Linked DNA regions of Schizosaccharomyces pombe. The main gene of each other region encodes a partner of the protein of the gene in region 2 in a complex. Each region holds a gene or a part of one and is shown on either strand. Other genes may lie near its edges.

Region 1 (4,236 bases), 1.2 Mb from region 2:
TGTGGAACAAGGATACGATGTTTGGCTTGGAAACTTACGAGGAAACAAATATAGTATAAAGAATATCAAATTCAGCTCTCAAAATCCAAAGTTTTGGGATTTCAGTCTTGATAGTATCGCTATTTTTGACATACCTTCCATTGTTAAATATATACTGTCCGTTAACAGTTTTGATTCTATAAGCCTTGTTGGATTTTCTCAGGGCGCTATATTAGCATTTGCAGCGCTGTCTATTGATACTGAACTTCGCAATTCCGTACGAGCATTTATTGCTCTAGCTCCTGCAATTGCTCCTAAAAAGTATAGTGGTAGAACCGTTAAATCTATTATTCACGCTAATAGCCAACTTCTTTACCTAATGTTCGGTCGAAATTCCATGCTTGGTTCTGCTGTGTTTTGGCAAGCAGTTTTATATCCGCCAGTTTTTGCAAAAATTGTTGATCTGTTTCTTCGCTTTTTTCTGAGCTGGACCGGAAAAAATATTTCCGAAACTCAGAAAATCGTTGCATACTCCCATCTATATTCCTTTACTTCTGTCAAATGCTTTGTACATTGGGCTCAAATTACGCGTCGCAAAGTATTACAAATGTACGATGACAGTCCAGGATTTAAGCCAAGTTACTATACAAATCTTAACCGAATTGCTCGCTATCCGATTGAAAATATACGTCTACCTATTACTTTAGTTTATGGCAGTAACGATAACATGGTGGACATTGAAACACTCAAGACCCAACTTCCACCATTATCTCAATGCATTCAGGTATGTTCTGAAACAGTTGTAGCTTCATTTACTTAAGTGGAAACTAACAAGTTAAAATTAAAGATTCCTAACTATGAGCATCTCGACATCATCATGGGAGATACGAAAAAGGACATAGTAATTCAGCAAGTCGTAGAACAACTAAATCATGTCATTGCTGGAGATTACTTTGAAAGCATAAAAGAAGAATTTGGACTTGACACAGAATTGGTTGACGGCGTTATGAACCATACAATATAGTGTTCATCGCTTCTGAAACTGGCACAATGTATATTTAATATGTTAGATAAGTTTCTGTTCTAAATCAAACTGAAGCACAGTGTTGTATAGACTGTTTCATCGTATGTGCAACCCTTCTTATCAGTATTTGTATTAAACGGCTAAAAAAAGTTTCTTTGTTTAATTTGAAAAAGTCAATATGGCAACGAAAGCAAAAAAAACTATGCAATTTTTATATGTACAAATAACTTTTAGATAATGCAACAACTAGAAGAATTTGCTGAGTGAATTTGTAACAATTCAAGATTTTATTTCGCAAAAGTTTGAAATGGATTGTACTGCCGCTAATGCATGCTAAGGGGGTAAATTTTCTTTCAAAAACGGGAAATAAATGCTTGATTTTCAGGTAGTAGATTTTTTTCTCTTAACATAAATATCCCCGCCGGTATCCCTTCTATACACATTACCAGTAGAAAGATCAATGAGCCTAAAAACACGCTTCCCAACTTCGCTGGGGCTTGAAGAAATTAGCTCTTCATCTTCATTCAAATCTTTGTGCTCATCAGATGTTTTGTGGAAGTGAGTAGCGTTTTGTCTCATGTTTAATTCCTCAATCGAAGGCCACTTCAGGATTTTAGCAGCCTCTTGAGGTGTAAACGTTTCTCCCTCAGGCAAACTCTTCCAAAGGGATACTGGATTGGAACGCAAAGGAATATCGTTTCCGTCATTAAACTGCATCATCTCAGGTTTAGTACATGCGTTCAGCATTTTCTCCATAACTTCATTATAACTATGAAGAATCGGCTTCTTTTTTTCTTCGAATTCATCATTTATTCTTCTCAACTTTATAAGAGCTTCAATCCTTTGTGGAGATGTGTTGAATTTTCGAGCAAGCACTTCTATACTTGCACCCTGCAAGTATTCATCGGTAATTTTCATACGCAAAGAATGAGATATAGGCCTAGGAGGCTTAAAAAAAGGGTTTAAAGGGAAGGGCTGATTTGTATTAGGTCCCAAGCCTACATTACCAGATGATGAGGACTTTGCTTTCTGTACTTCGGGAGACATTAACCATTGAGCCATCATTAAACGTTGTTTATGACGAAGTGTATTCTTAGAAACTGAAGAAGCAACATCATTTGGGGGTGTTACAGATCTTGAGTTGCAAGCAACGTACTTTGAATCAATGTTCTTTTGAGTGTGTTTATTTAAATCAATATTTCCCCCATTGCTTAAAAATGCTCCAGTACTAAAGAATTGTTTCTTGACTGCTGAGGTATAAGTTTTATTTTGAGATAAATTAAAAGCCGTTTTAAGCCCTAACTGTGAGAATTCCACTGAATTCCTCATTTAGGTGCGTTGGAAAGGTTTCTTGTGTCACTCCCCAAAAGTTAGTAACACGCCCTAATTCTATTCATCAAGATAGATATAGAAAATAAACTTCAAAAAACCAATAATTAATGAGACGATTTAGGAAAACTCAAATTTAACCTCCGGCGGTCAAGCAATCTAGCTCCATTATAAGATCCGATTAACATACAGACGCTTGATTTATTTATGAGACAATAACTCTCAGTATGCAATAAAGTAAGATTTTGTTTATTCTATAGAATGTTTGAGAGTCAGTTCCAATATTAGGATACGAACAGTTATACACATCAATACTTAAAAAATAAATACACAATTTAAGTCATAATTTCTACAGAATCAAACGAAAAAAATTCATTAAATACGGTCATTGCTTCTTTAGACAAGAGTTTCGCATGTCCTTGATATTTTTGTTTGGCAATTGACACATCAACAAATAATAAAGCGGATGGATGGCATTAAATTGATTAGGAAATTCCAAATTGAAAATTAAAGTAGAGGAAAGTTTTAGAATACATGTTATACAAACAAAACGATTTGTGTATCATATTTGTCAGAAAGTTCATAACCAACAATCTCAGCTTAATACCTAAGTTTATTATATTCGGCAAAAAAGGGGAAATAGGTTTAAGGAAACATTTATAAACTTACCTCAAATTATTTAGAGAGTAACCAAAAACCCAAAAAGCAATCAACTAATGAAGAGTGCATGGGCTTAACAATTATTCTAAAAACTTTAACTGAGATGTTTATTTCAAATGTTGAAAGGGAGACAATTCAAAAAGATTTTTAAAGTTAAACGACAATAGGCATATAATTGACCCTACTAAGGCAAAATCCAAAGTGCCTTTCAAAGACCATTTTGTATTTGACCGACTAAATCGTAACCCACTTCCTTTCAGTCTATTATCATAATGTACATTATTGCGAATATGTGTTTTAGAGAAAGCATTTTATGAAGTCATTATTTGGTATCCGAGGAACACTTCAGTAGTAGTTCCTTGCCATCCTCGATTTCCACTAGCTGAAAACATGAATTGACAAGAAGTGTCTACATAAAGCGAACTGACAAGACCTCCATGATGACCTGGAATAATTAAGAACCCTATGCCGGCCTTGCTTTGAAGATCATAAAGGCGGATATTATCAAAGGAGGAAATTACAAGGTGACGGCCATTCGGCATCGAATAGACATTTGAAACAGGACCCGAATCGAGAGGCATTTTTAAAGAGCGAACAGGCTCCTTGCCAGAGTGAATGTTATATTCTTCGACGATTCCATTTCGGCGGCCAATATATATATTATTTCCATCCGGACTCCAACATGCAGACATAGCCCATGGTGGTACACCCTTGGGGACGGGGTATTTGAGAACAGAATCGACCATGCGATGGTCCCATACATTCATAACTCCATCTATAGACGTCGTTAAGAAAATATTGGACTCTTCGGATGAAGATTCGGAAGGAGCTTTTATGTTGTCATTGTTAGTAGTAGATTCGGTTTGAGAGGGTTTTTCTGTCTCGTTCTCCTCATTTGCTTGAACAGATTTAGTTTCTTCTTCAATGGCTTTTTCCACCTCTTCATCAAACAGTGCATCGTAAGAAGAGGAAGACGCAGGTGTACCGAACAAACTACGCATGTCGTCCGATTCAGAACCCCAAGGATTTACAGCGCCTGATGGACGATAAACTATATTCGAAATTTGACCACTCTCACAATTGTATGTAGATATTGCATCACCAGTGTTAAGGTCCCAGTAATAAACCATTTTGTCCCAGCTTCCACTCAATACTTTTTTCTCGGAACCATGTAATGCTAAACACGAAACAGGAGCCGTATGCTTTTTTAAAGAAGTAACGGGATAACCCTCTTGATGTCTTGT
Region 2 (4,385 bases):
CAGATTCGAAATGCACATCGCCAACCAAAACGCGTTTTCCATTTCTTTGAACAGCGTTTATGCCAACATCTACCACAACAGATCCTGGTTTCAACCATTCACCACGAACAAATTCGGGTTTGCCTAATGCTGCTATAACCAAATCAGCATTAGAAATGTGCTGAATTAAATCTTTAGTTTTAGAATGACAGACAGTTACTGTAGCATTGTCCTTTCTCAACAAGTAGCTAATTGGATTTCCGACAATGTCACTTCTTCCCAGAACTACAGCGTTCAATCCAGCGACTGAAATCTTGTTATCTTTTAATAACTCCATAATACCTTTCGGGGTACAGGGATAATGAATGGGGGTAGCATCATTCTTTGCCAATAAACCAATGTTAAATGCACCAAATCCATCAACGTCTTTCGGCGGAGTGATAGATTCAGTAACTGTACGCTCATTGAGATGCTTGGGAAGAGGAAGTTGGACAAGGACACCGTGAACCGTATGATCGTCATTCAATTTTTTTAATTCATGAAGCAAGGCAGGCATTTGGATTGTTTCAGGAAACGGGCAGTATTTAAAATCAATACCAACTAATCGTGCCGCCTTTTCTTTCATTCGAACGTACACGTTAGAATCCTCACGTTTTCCAACCTGTACAATGGCAAGCGCCGGCTTAAAGTTTCGATCCTTAGCTTTCAAGGCCTGCACTTCTTCAGCAACAGAACGTTGTAATTTTCTAATTAGTCGCTACATTAGTAACCTCAAAGAGAAATAAAAATATAAAGTTTTAAGAGCAAAAAAATCTGATGAAACCTCAAACGTGCTGCAATGCCCAATACAATTTTTTAACTTCTAAGTATCGACAAAAAAATTGAAGAATATACGGAATTAAGCAATGTACGCAAATCAATTTTCAAACCACCAAAATTTTATCGTCAAAGACAAACACAGAAATGCACGCTCATCTGCATAGAGAAAATTTAGAATATAAACTTTATCTTACCTTGCCAATAATTTTCCATTTAGGATATTCGCAGAACTTGAAGTACCATACGACTGAAAAAGCCATTTCGATGGCCGTAAGCTGTTGCTTTCTAGAAAATAGTTTCGTAATTGATTAAACGAAACCATTACGTTCATAGAAAGACACCCAGAAGTGGTAGGGTAGTAAGGGAACCTGCCTGTCCTCTGGTGGTGTGTTAAAGCAAAATTTTTATTGGTAGTCAGGTAATCTATGTTGAATAATACGCTTACAGTAGAATATGAACCGAAACATTTTAATAGCGATTGTATTAAAGCAATGTATTCATTCTCGTATAATTTATTCTTCAAGCTCGAATAGTGACTGGAACAATTGCATTATTGCAAATCATAATGTATTGAACAAGTAATAATATACCTAAGCCTTTGAGATAGCTAATAAGCACACAAATAGTCAAAGAAAAAGTTTAAAAATCTGTTACATGATATACAGAATCTCAAGATCAAATATAATAGACAAATATAAACAACAAACGATCTGACAAGCAACTCATTAATTATCAGTAAATAAACTTAGACTAGAAAAATCATATAGTTTAGTTTAGTAGAGATAAACTCATTAATGAACAAGGAAGAACACACAAATTTACCGAAAGTTAACCTTTATAAGTTTCACTTTTCTTATGATAGCCATACCTTTAGTATTACTAATTTATAATTATAAAAAAAATTCCCGTTAAATTTAATAAGTACAAGCTAAAATCGTACTCAGTCATGGTTTACTCGAGTGTAAACAATTAAAGCACTCTGTTTCTCTATCCAACAGTGTGCGAGTCAAGTAACATTGCTACTTGAGGAGAGTGAACGTTTACTACACAACATGCCGACATGACCTCCTAACGAAAGCGATTCTATAACTTCAAACTAGCTATTGTAACATTGGCCATAATTTTGTATATTAATAGAGAGAATTTCATCTCGTATATACTTTTCATGAGTGTGCACACTTGATGTAAAACACTTCGCAAGCTGGATTGCACGACAAAAGTATATAAATAGCTGGCATCAAAAAATTACAGTCGTATTCGTGTGTTTTCTGAGTGATTGCTATTGATATTGACAATATTGACTCATTAGAAGTACCCACTTTCGTTCAGCAGTTACTTTTCGGTGGTGGTTTACATTGGGCAGAATTTGGATGTTTCTGACAAAGTATATCTTTAATCAAAATTATAATGAAGTTTCCTGATTTGTTGAGATGCTCCCGAGCAGTTAGTTTAGCAAGACCAGACTTGCCGAGGAACTCCCCTGATGTCTATGATACGAAGATTCCCATCCTACAAGCAATTACTGCGAAGAAATGCCAAAGATTTCGCGGCGATTGGGGAGCTAAGAGGAAGTTACCGATCCTAAAAAACCGTCATATTTCCATACAAAAGTTTGACACATTCGAGCATCAGTGTGCCTTCATCAGCAGTGACAGATTCGTACGCACCTTGAAACGAATTTACGACCTTAAGCTCCCTGTTCCGCTTAATGATTATGAACAAATTTCCCCTTACCTTTTACAGAAATACAACACTTTCTCAAGCTCAAATCCTAAATCCAGACCTACACTTCCACCAGGTATATTATACGCCAAATTGAAACTTTTAGATTCTTTTTCTGATTCTGAAAAGAAGCGCCTAAGTTTAGTATCCTTTATTCAAACTAAAAAAGTCCCGTTACCATTTACTTACGGAAAATTTGCACCCGACTCTAAAGAATGTTTATTTGGTGTCTCAGGAGTTATAGCTGCTACTTCTCTCAAAGGAATTACTTCAACAAAAAATCGATACGTAATTCGATCTCTTAATGTCGATGAAACCGGTAAAACCATTCCAAATATCACACGAGAAAATAGGAGTATTTAATACCATAATACAAGTTGACATTGACAATAAAAAACAGTAAAACGATTATTTCTCCCGTGAGTCACTTCGGTTTTCTTAAAACAATAGCTTTTCTTTCAAGGAATTGTTTCTTAATATTGTTTTCGTCTGTTGATAATCGTCTATTATGAAGATCCATCCATATTTAACATTTATTTCATCTGCTTACGATCCTGAGTTTTTGAGTTAGGGAAATTAATTGCACGGACTACTTTCTCCTTGAGCTATCATGATATGCCTTTAAGATCATTAAATATTTTTAACCGTTATTTTGCATTGTAGTGAACCGCTTTTTTCTCCCTCTTTTTGTTCATGGAGAGATTCTATACACCTATTACTTTTTCTAGGAAATAATATTGTCAACAAGCTTGTTTATTATTCCCACCATTCTTGTTTAAAAAAGATTGAATTTTTATTGTTTGTTTTTTGAGTGATTTTAACTTATTTTGGTTCTTGTAATTTTCGTTATGGCCGTATCGCATTACTGGAAACCTACGATGTTCCTAAGGGTGTCCGTTTATATTGAACTCTGTTTGGTTTATATTATGTACGCACGTGCTAAAAAATTTGCATAAATAAATTAATAAGCTTATATCAATCAACGCTTCCCGACAGTGTATTAAATTGTAAATCCGATAAACTTTGTAAACGTCTTTTGAATTTGCTTCTTAATTACCCAGTTACTCTAGTACCTACTAAGAGATAAAATCGTGTTTTATTAGCAATCATTATTTTTCTTTTCTTCGTACAATCTTTTATTCAAGCATTTTACTGTAACTCGTTATTTTGCTTTGTACAATAACACTCAGTATTATACCACAATACATTTTGAATGTTAACACGTACATAGCATGTTGTTATAATGTCGAGTAGTTCAAGTCATTTTTCGGTAATTTAACTTTCATAAAATTCGGAATTACTAACTTAAACAAAAGTCTACCGCTGCTGATTTGCTAGCAGTCTTCAGCTCAGATAATAAGGACAAATCTGCAAACAAACGAATTTCTGCTTTAAAGAAAGCAATTGCAGGCATATCTTATGGATATGATATGAGTTCACTGTTTCCATCGGTGATATCTTCTATGGAATCTAATAATCTAGAATTAAAAAAACTATGCTATTTGTACTTGAAAATTTACGCGAGGTTTGTAAAAGTTTCTTTATTTTTTACTAATTGACAGCGTGAAACCCACAGAGGCGAAGAGAGCTGTTAAACTTATTTTGAATGTAATTTTCTAATTTGTACATCTCTTATGATGATGGATGTTAACCTCTTTTAGGACATTTATTCTTCCAACCCTATGATTAGGTCCTTAGCTTTAAGAACATTGACATCGGTAAACATCAAAAACTTTTGGGTTGCTGCTATGGATCCAATTGTAAGGTTATTAGATGATACAGATCCTTACGTTCGAAAAACTGCAGCCATTGGGATTGCAAAATTGTACTCCTATGATAAAAAAATGGTGGAGTCATCAGGATTA
Region 3 (3,760 bases), 2.3 Mb from region 2:
TTTTCGTGAAAATAGTTAATTCAAAAGTTCTAATCAATTTTTTTTATAGGGACCAGAATTGCGCATTCTTATTGTCCATGCCCGCTGGAATCTTCAAGCCATTGAGCCTCTTGTTAAGGGTGCCGTTGAGACCATGATAGAAAAACATGATGTGAAGTTGGAGAATATTGACATTGAAAGTGTTCCGGGAAGTTGGGAACTTCCTCAAGGTATTCGTGCTTCCATCGCCCGCAATACATATGATGCTGTTATTGGCATTGGCGTTTTAATCAAAGGTTCCACCATGCATTTTGAATATATTTCAGAAGCTGTTGTTCATGGTCTTATGCGCGTTGGCCTTGATTCAGGTGTTCCCGTCATTCTAGGTCTATTAACAGTTTTAAATGAAGAGCAAGCTCTTTATCGTGCAGGTTTGAATGGTGGCCATAACCATGGAAATGATTGGGGATCAGCTGCTGTAGAGATGGGATTGAAAGCTTTGTATTAATTAAGTTGAATCCTTTGCTCATTTTTTTGTTAATAAAATATGCTACTGACTGTTTTGCTCTTCGAAAGGACCTACTGACATGCTAAAGCTTTAGTCATGATCCTTTATACATTGTCGCTTTCTTATGAGCACCGTCTTAGTTGAACAAGTATGTTTTTCATTCAATCGTTTGCAACGTATTTTCATGATTCCCCAGTTTGTTAAGATATACAGCTATGGGTTAATGTATACGATGTTTTAAATTTGCTTAAGACTTAATCCCAACTTATTATGTTTTGTAAGCTTTATTTTGAATATATTACTGTCTATATGCATCTTGTTCAATCACTTGCCCTTTTTACAAAAAAAGATGTTACAGAAGTATTATTGACATAGTTGTAAACAAATTTAAAGGCATTGAATGCTGGGAGCAGGAAACATGGTACTACAAGAGTAGTTTTCTTTTAGAAATGAATGTGATTTGAGACTCTTCTGATGCACAATCTACAATTTGCAACATTACGTAGCCATTGTGAATGTAAAAATTTCCAGTTAAAATCGATATCGGTGTATACAGGTAATTGGCAAGTTAAGAAAGAGCGGTCAATCACCGATTTACAATATTCATGACCACCGCGAAAGACTTATCACAATGGATCAATCGAAATCATTAGGAATCATCAAAAATTAATGGGGATTTTTTATTTACTCTTTCGAAATCTCCGATGCTGGGCTCATACGGTTGGCTGTGCTTAAGATTTTTATGATTTCAAAGCGTTTAGTCGCTGACCGAGGCCTACATGGCTGTATTGTAACTGCATCTCCAACATTACAATTTAAATCATCTTGAACCATATAGTTTTGATATTGGGTGACATACTTTTTCACCACTGGATGGAACTTTTCTTTTGCAACCCGCACTTTCGCTGTTTTTGGCATTGCACGAGAAATCACGATTCCCACATAATTTAGCTTCATTCTTCAGAGTAATTTTAGGATTAAACAAGAAAAGTAAGTAAGTCTAATCCTTTAAATACCCACAATAACTAAGTTATCAATGCGCACCGTTTTAGCAGTAGAGAGTTTTGACATTGCCCTATTTACAAATGTGCAATGAAGCGGCGTCTTTTCCCTTATAATTATTTAACATAAATAAGCTTTCCTTAAGTCAATTAATGATAATATATAAATGTGATAAACAACATAACGAGGATCGGAAAAGTATGTGTATTTTATTTTAAAGTACTTTATGGTAGGGTGACTTTGTAGAGAAGAAGAACGAGGGTTATTGACACTGTGTTTTCGCCATGTTTGACGACCCATCTAAGAGACTGACATATTTTGAATATGCTGTCGGTGTTCTTTTATGTTCATGGCCTGTTATGAAACAGGCTGTTGAAGAAGAATGGGCCGATGTCGATACCGCCGATAAACGAGACTGGATGGCAGGAGTTTTAGTTGATTATATTACAGTTACGAGCGATGTGGAAGCATGGGACGTTGAAGAATTGATTCTTCAAGTCCTGCAGGATGAATTCAATGTTGGTTCAATAGAAGACGACTCACCCTATATCGTAAGTATTCACCAATACTAAATTAGGTAAAGATTTTTTTCAAACAAGAAAGAACGTAACAAGCTTGCTTGAGACTGAAGATTCGTATATATATATTGGCACCGAAAAAATGATTTAAGTTTGAGGACGAAATATTGGAATATTAGTCAAAAGCTCGAGTTTATACACATATTGCGTTCTGTTGTCTATATTAAAAATTTTTTACTTCTATTAGCATTTAAAATAATTATCAAGTGATACGTCTATTAACAGTCTATTTAGTTGGCTCAAGATTTGGTTAATGTGTGGAAAGCTGCTTGCGAAGATAATTATGAACCTATTCGTGAAATCCATGAGCGTCTCGGAAAACAATTGCTTGAAAAGGAGGAAGGAAAGGAAAAAACTAGAGAAGAGTCAAATCCTCCGGTATTGGTAGAAGACGAAACGATTGTTGATGCTGAGGATGGAGGAGCTGCTCAAAATCAGCAGGAAAAGCAGCAGGGACCCATTGTTGATGATGATGGATTCACCGTTGTCCAGAAAAGACGTCGTTAAAGAGGATGTACTATTCTTATATCTTTTGGTATCATTAAATGAGCATTATTGCTGGGAGCAATTGGTTTTATCTTTTTTGTATTTTGGGGGATAATAAAAATTCAAGTTTTTGGTTTGAAAATTGAAAATTGGGATCGAAATAACTCTTATATTTTTTAAGCCTTTGTAATCCGTGTCATAAGAAGATGTAGTTAAAAGTATAGAAGAACGTGATCCGCCAAAATACGAATACGAGTTAAATTGAGCAGCTTTTTCACTTCTCAAATTTTTAATACTTGTTTTTTATGAGATTAGGCTGTAAATAGAGTGTATTTTAGTCATGCAGACGTAAAAAGGCGCAAAATACATTCTTTCATGAATCGAATGGTTGTACATAAATATGTATTATTTTACTAGTCATTGATCCTTTAAAACTCAACTGCAATTCTGGCTTTCGATCCATGTTTTCCTCCTCTTCAGCAGTATTTGGTAGTGCAAAATTTCTAGCAGTTTCGATGATTGCATGGCTTTGGACCGATTCACTCGTAATATCCACTACTCTTTTCTCGTAGAGCGTGCGGATGGATCCTTGGTTGAGAAATGCAACTGCATGCAATTCACGCTGTAGGGAAAAAAGGAAAGCCCGAATATCAAGGTCTTCTTTTGTTTTAAAATGAATTCGAACGTGACACAACAAGTTATGCCTCAACCTCACAATTTTCTCAACAGAACACATTTGCACCTTGGTGTCTGGTTAGATACGGGAGGATGGTCAACCATAGCCAAAAAAAGCAAATGACAAAACTCTTTGAATTTCTCAATACTCCATGTATTAAGTTAAATTATATACAACAAAAGACGACTTATAAATTTCAATTCTAAGATGGGAATACAGTCAAGTAAATGAGTCGTAAACATAACGACTTTTTAGGAATGCTATTTATTATTTATTTTTTAACTAGCCAAGTAGTTAAGTATATGAACAACAATAATCCTTCAAAAGAGAGAATCTAACAACAAATAAATATATCGAGATGTAAACGATCAAAATGGTGTCTTTTTCATTATAGCAAACGAGCAGACATTAGGGCTAAAAGTATTGTGAAAAGTAGTTGTGACCAACATATTATCTTTTCGATTAAAGCAAAAGTTTTTCAAAAAAAAAAAAGATAATACCGTTCGCCTAGCAAACATCACTTGCCATCTA

Evidence for each region. The genes of interacting proteins can lie anywhere in the genome.
Region 1: mug178 (region 2) and bot1 share a complex: the UniProt entries of both Schizosaccharomyces pombe proteins name them as parts of the mitochondrial small ribosomal subunit.
Region 3: mug178 (region 2) and mrps17 share a complex: the UniProt entries of both Schizosaccharomyces pombe proteins name them as parts of the mitochondrial small ribosomal subunit.

The regions. Positions count from the first base shown.
Region 1 is NC_003423.3:2,230,780-2,235,015, forward strand, and holds bot1 (mitochondrial ribosomal protein subunit S45), read right to left. Parts: upstream 2,344-4,236; 5' UTR 2,333-2,343; coding exon 1,385-2,332; 3' UTR 1,004-1,384; coding exon of another isoform or gene 827-1,003; 3' UTR 764-826; downstream 1-763. Other genes in the region: SPOM_SPBC14C8.15 (triglyceride lipase-cholesterol esterase), read left to right, coding at 1-763, 827-1,003; SAGA complex subunit Spt8, read right to left, coding at 3,304-4,236. UniProt on the Schizosaccharomyces pombe protein: Component of the mitochondrial ribosome (mitoribosome), a dedicated translation machinery responsible for the synthesis of mitochondrial genome-encoded proteins, including at least some of the essential transmembrane subunits of the mitochondrial respiratory chain.
Region 2 is NC_003423.3:3,445,711-3,450,095, reverse strand, and holds mug178 (mitochondrial 37S ribosomal protein bS1m), read left to right. Parts: upstream 1-1,871; 5' UTR 1,872-2,205; coding exon 2,206-2,883; 3' UTR 2,884-3,580; downstream 3,581-4,385. Other genes in the region: ade9 (trifunctional formate-tetrahydrofolate ligase/methenyltetrahydrofolate cyclohydrolase/methylenetetrahydrofolate dehydrogenase), read right to left, coding at 1-725, 993-1,129; AP-2 adaptor complex subunit Apl1, read left to right, coding at 3,764-3,790, 3,837-4,045, 4,083-4,128, 4,182-4,385. UniProt on the Schizosaccharomyces pombe protein: Component of the mitochondrial ribosome (mitoribosome), a dedicated translation machinery responsible for the synthesis of mitochondrial genome-encoded proteins, including at least some of the essential transmembrane subunits of the mitochondrial respiratory chain.
Region 3 is NC_003423.3:1,165,761-1,169,520, forward strand, and holds mrps17 (mitochondrial 37S ribosomal protein uS17m), read right to left. Parts: upstream 1,538-3,760; 5' UTR 1,445-1,537; coding exon 1,172-1,444; 3' UTR 760-1,171; downstream 1-759. Other genes in the region: rib4 (6,7-dimethyl-8-ribityllumazine synthase), read left to right, coding at 50-487; rRNA processing protein Tsr2, read left to right, coding at 1,774-2,040, 2,302-2,574; DNA recombination protein Saw1, read right to left, coding at 2,927-3,289. UniProt on the Schizosaccharomyces pombe protein: Component of the mitochondrial ribosome (mitoribosome), a dedicated translation machinery responsible for the synthesis of mitochondrial genome-encoded proteins, including at least some of the essential transmembrane subunits of the mitochondrial respiratory chain.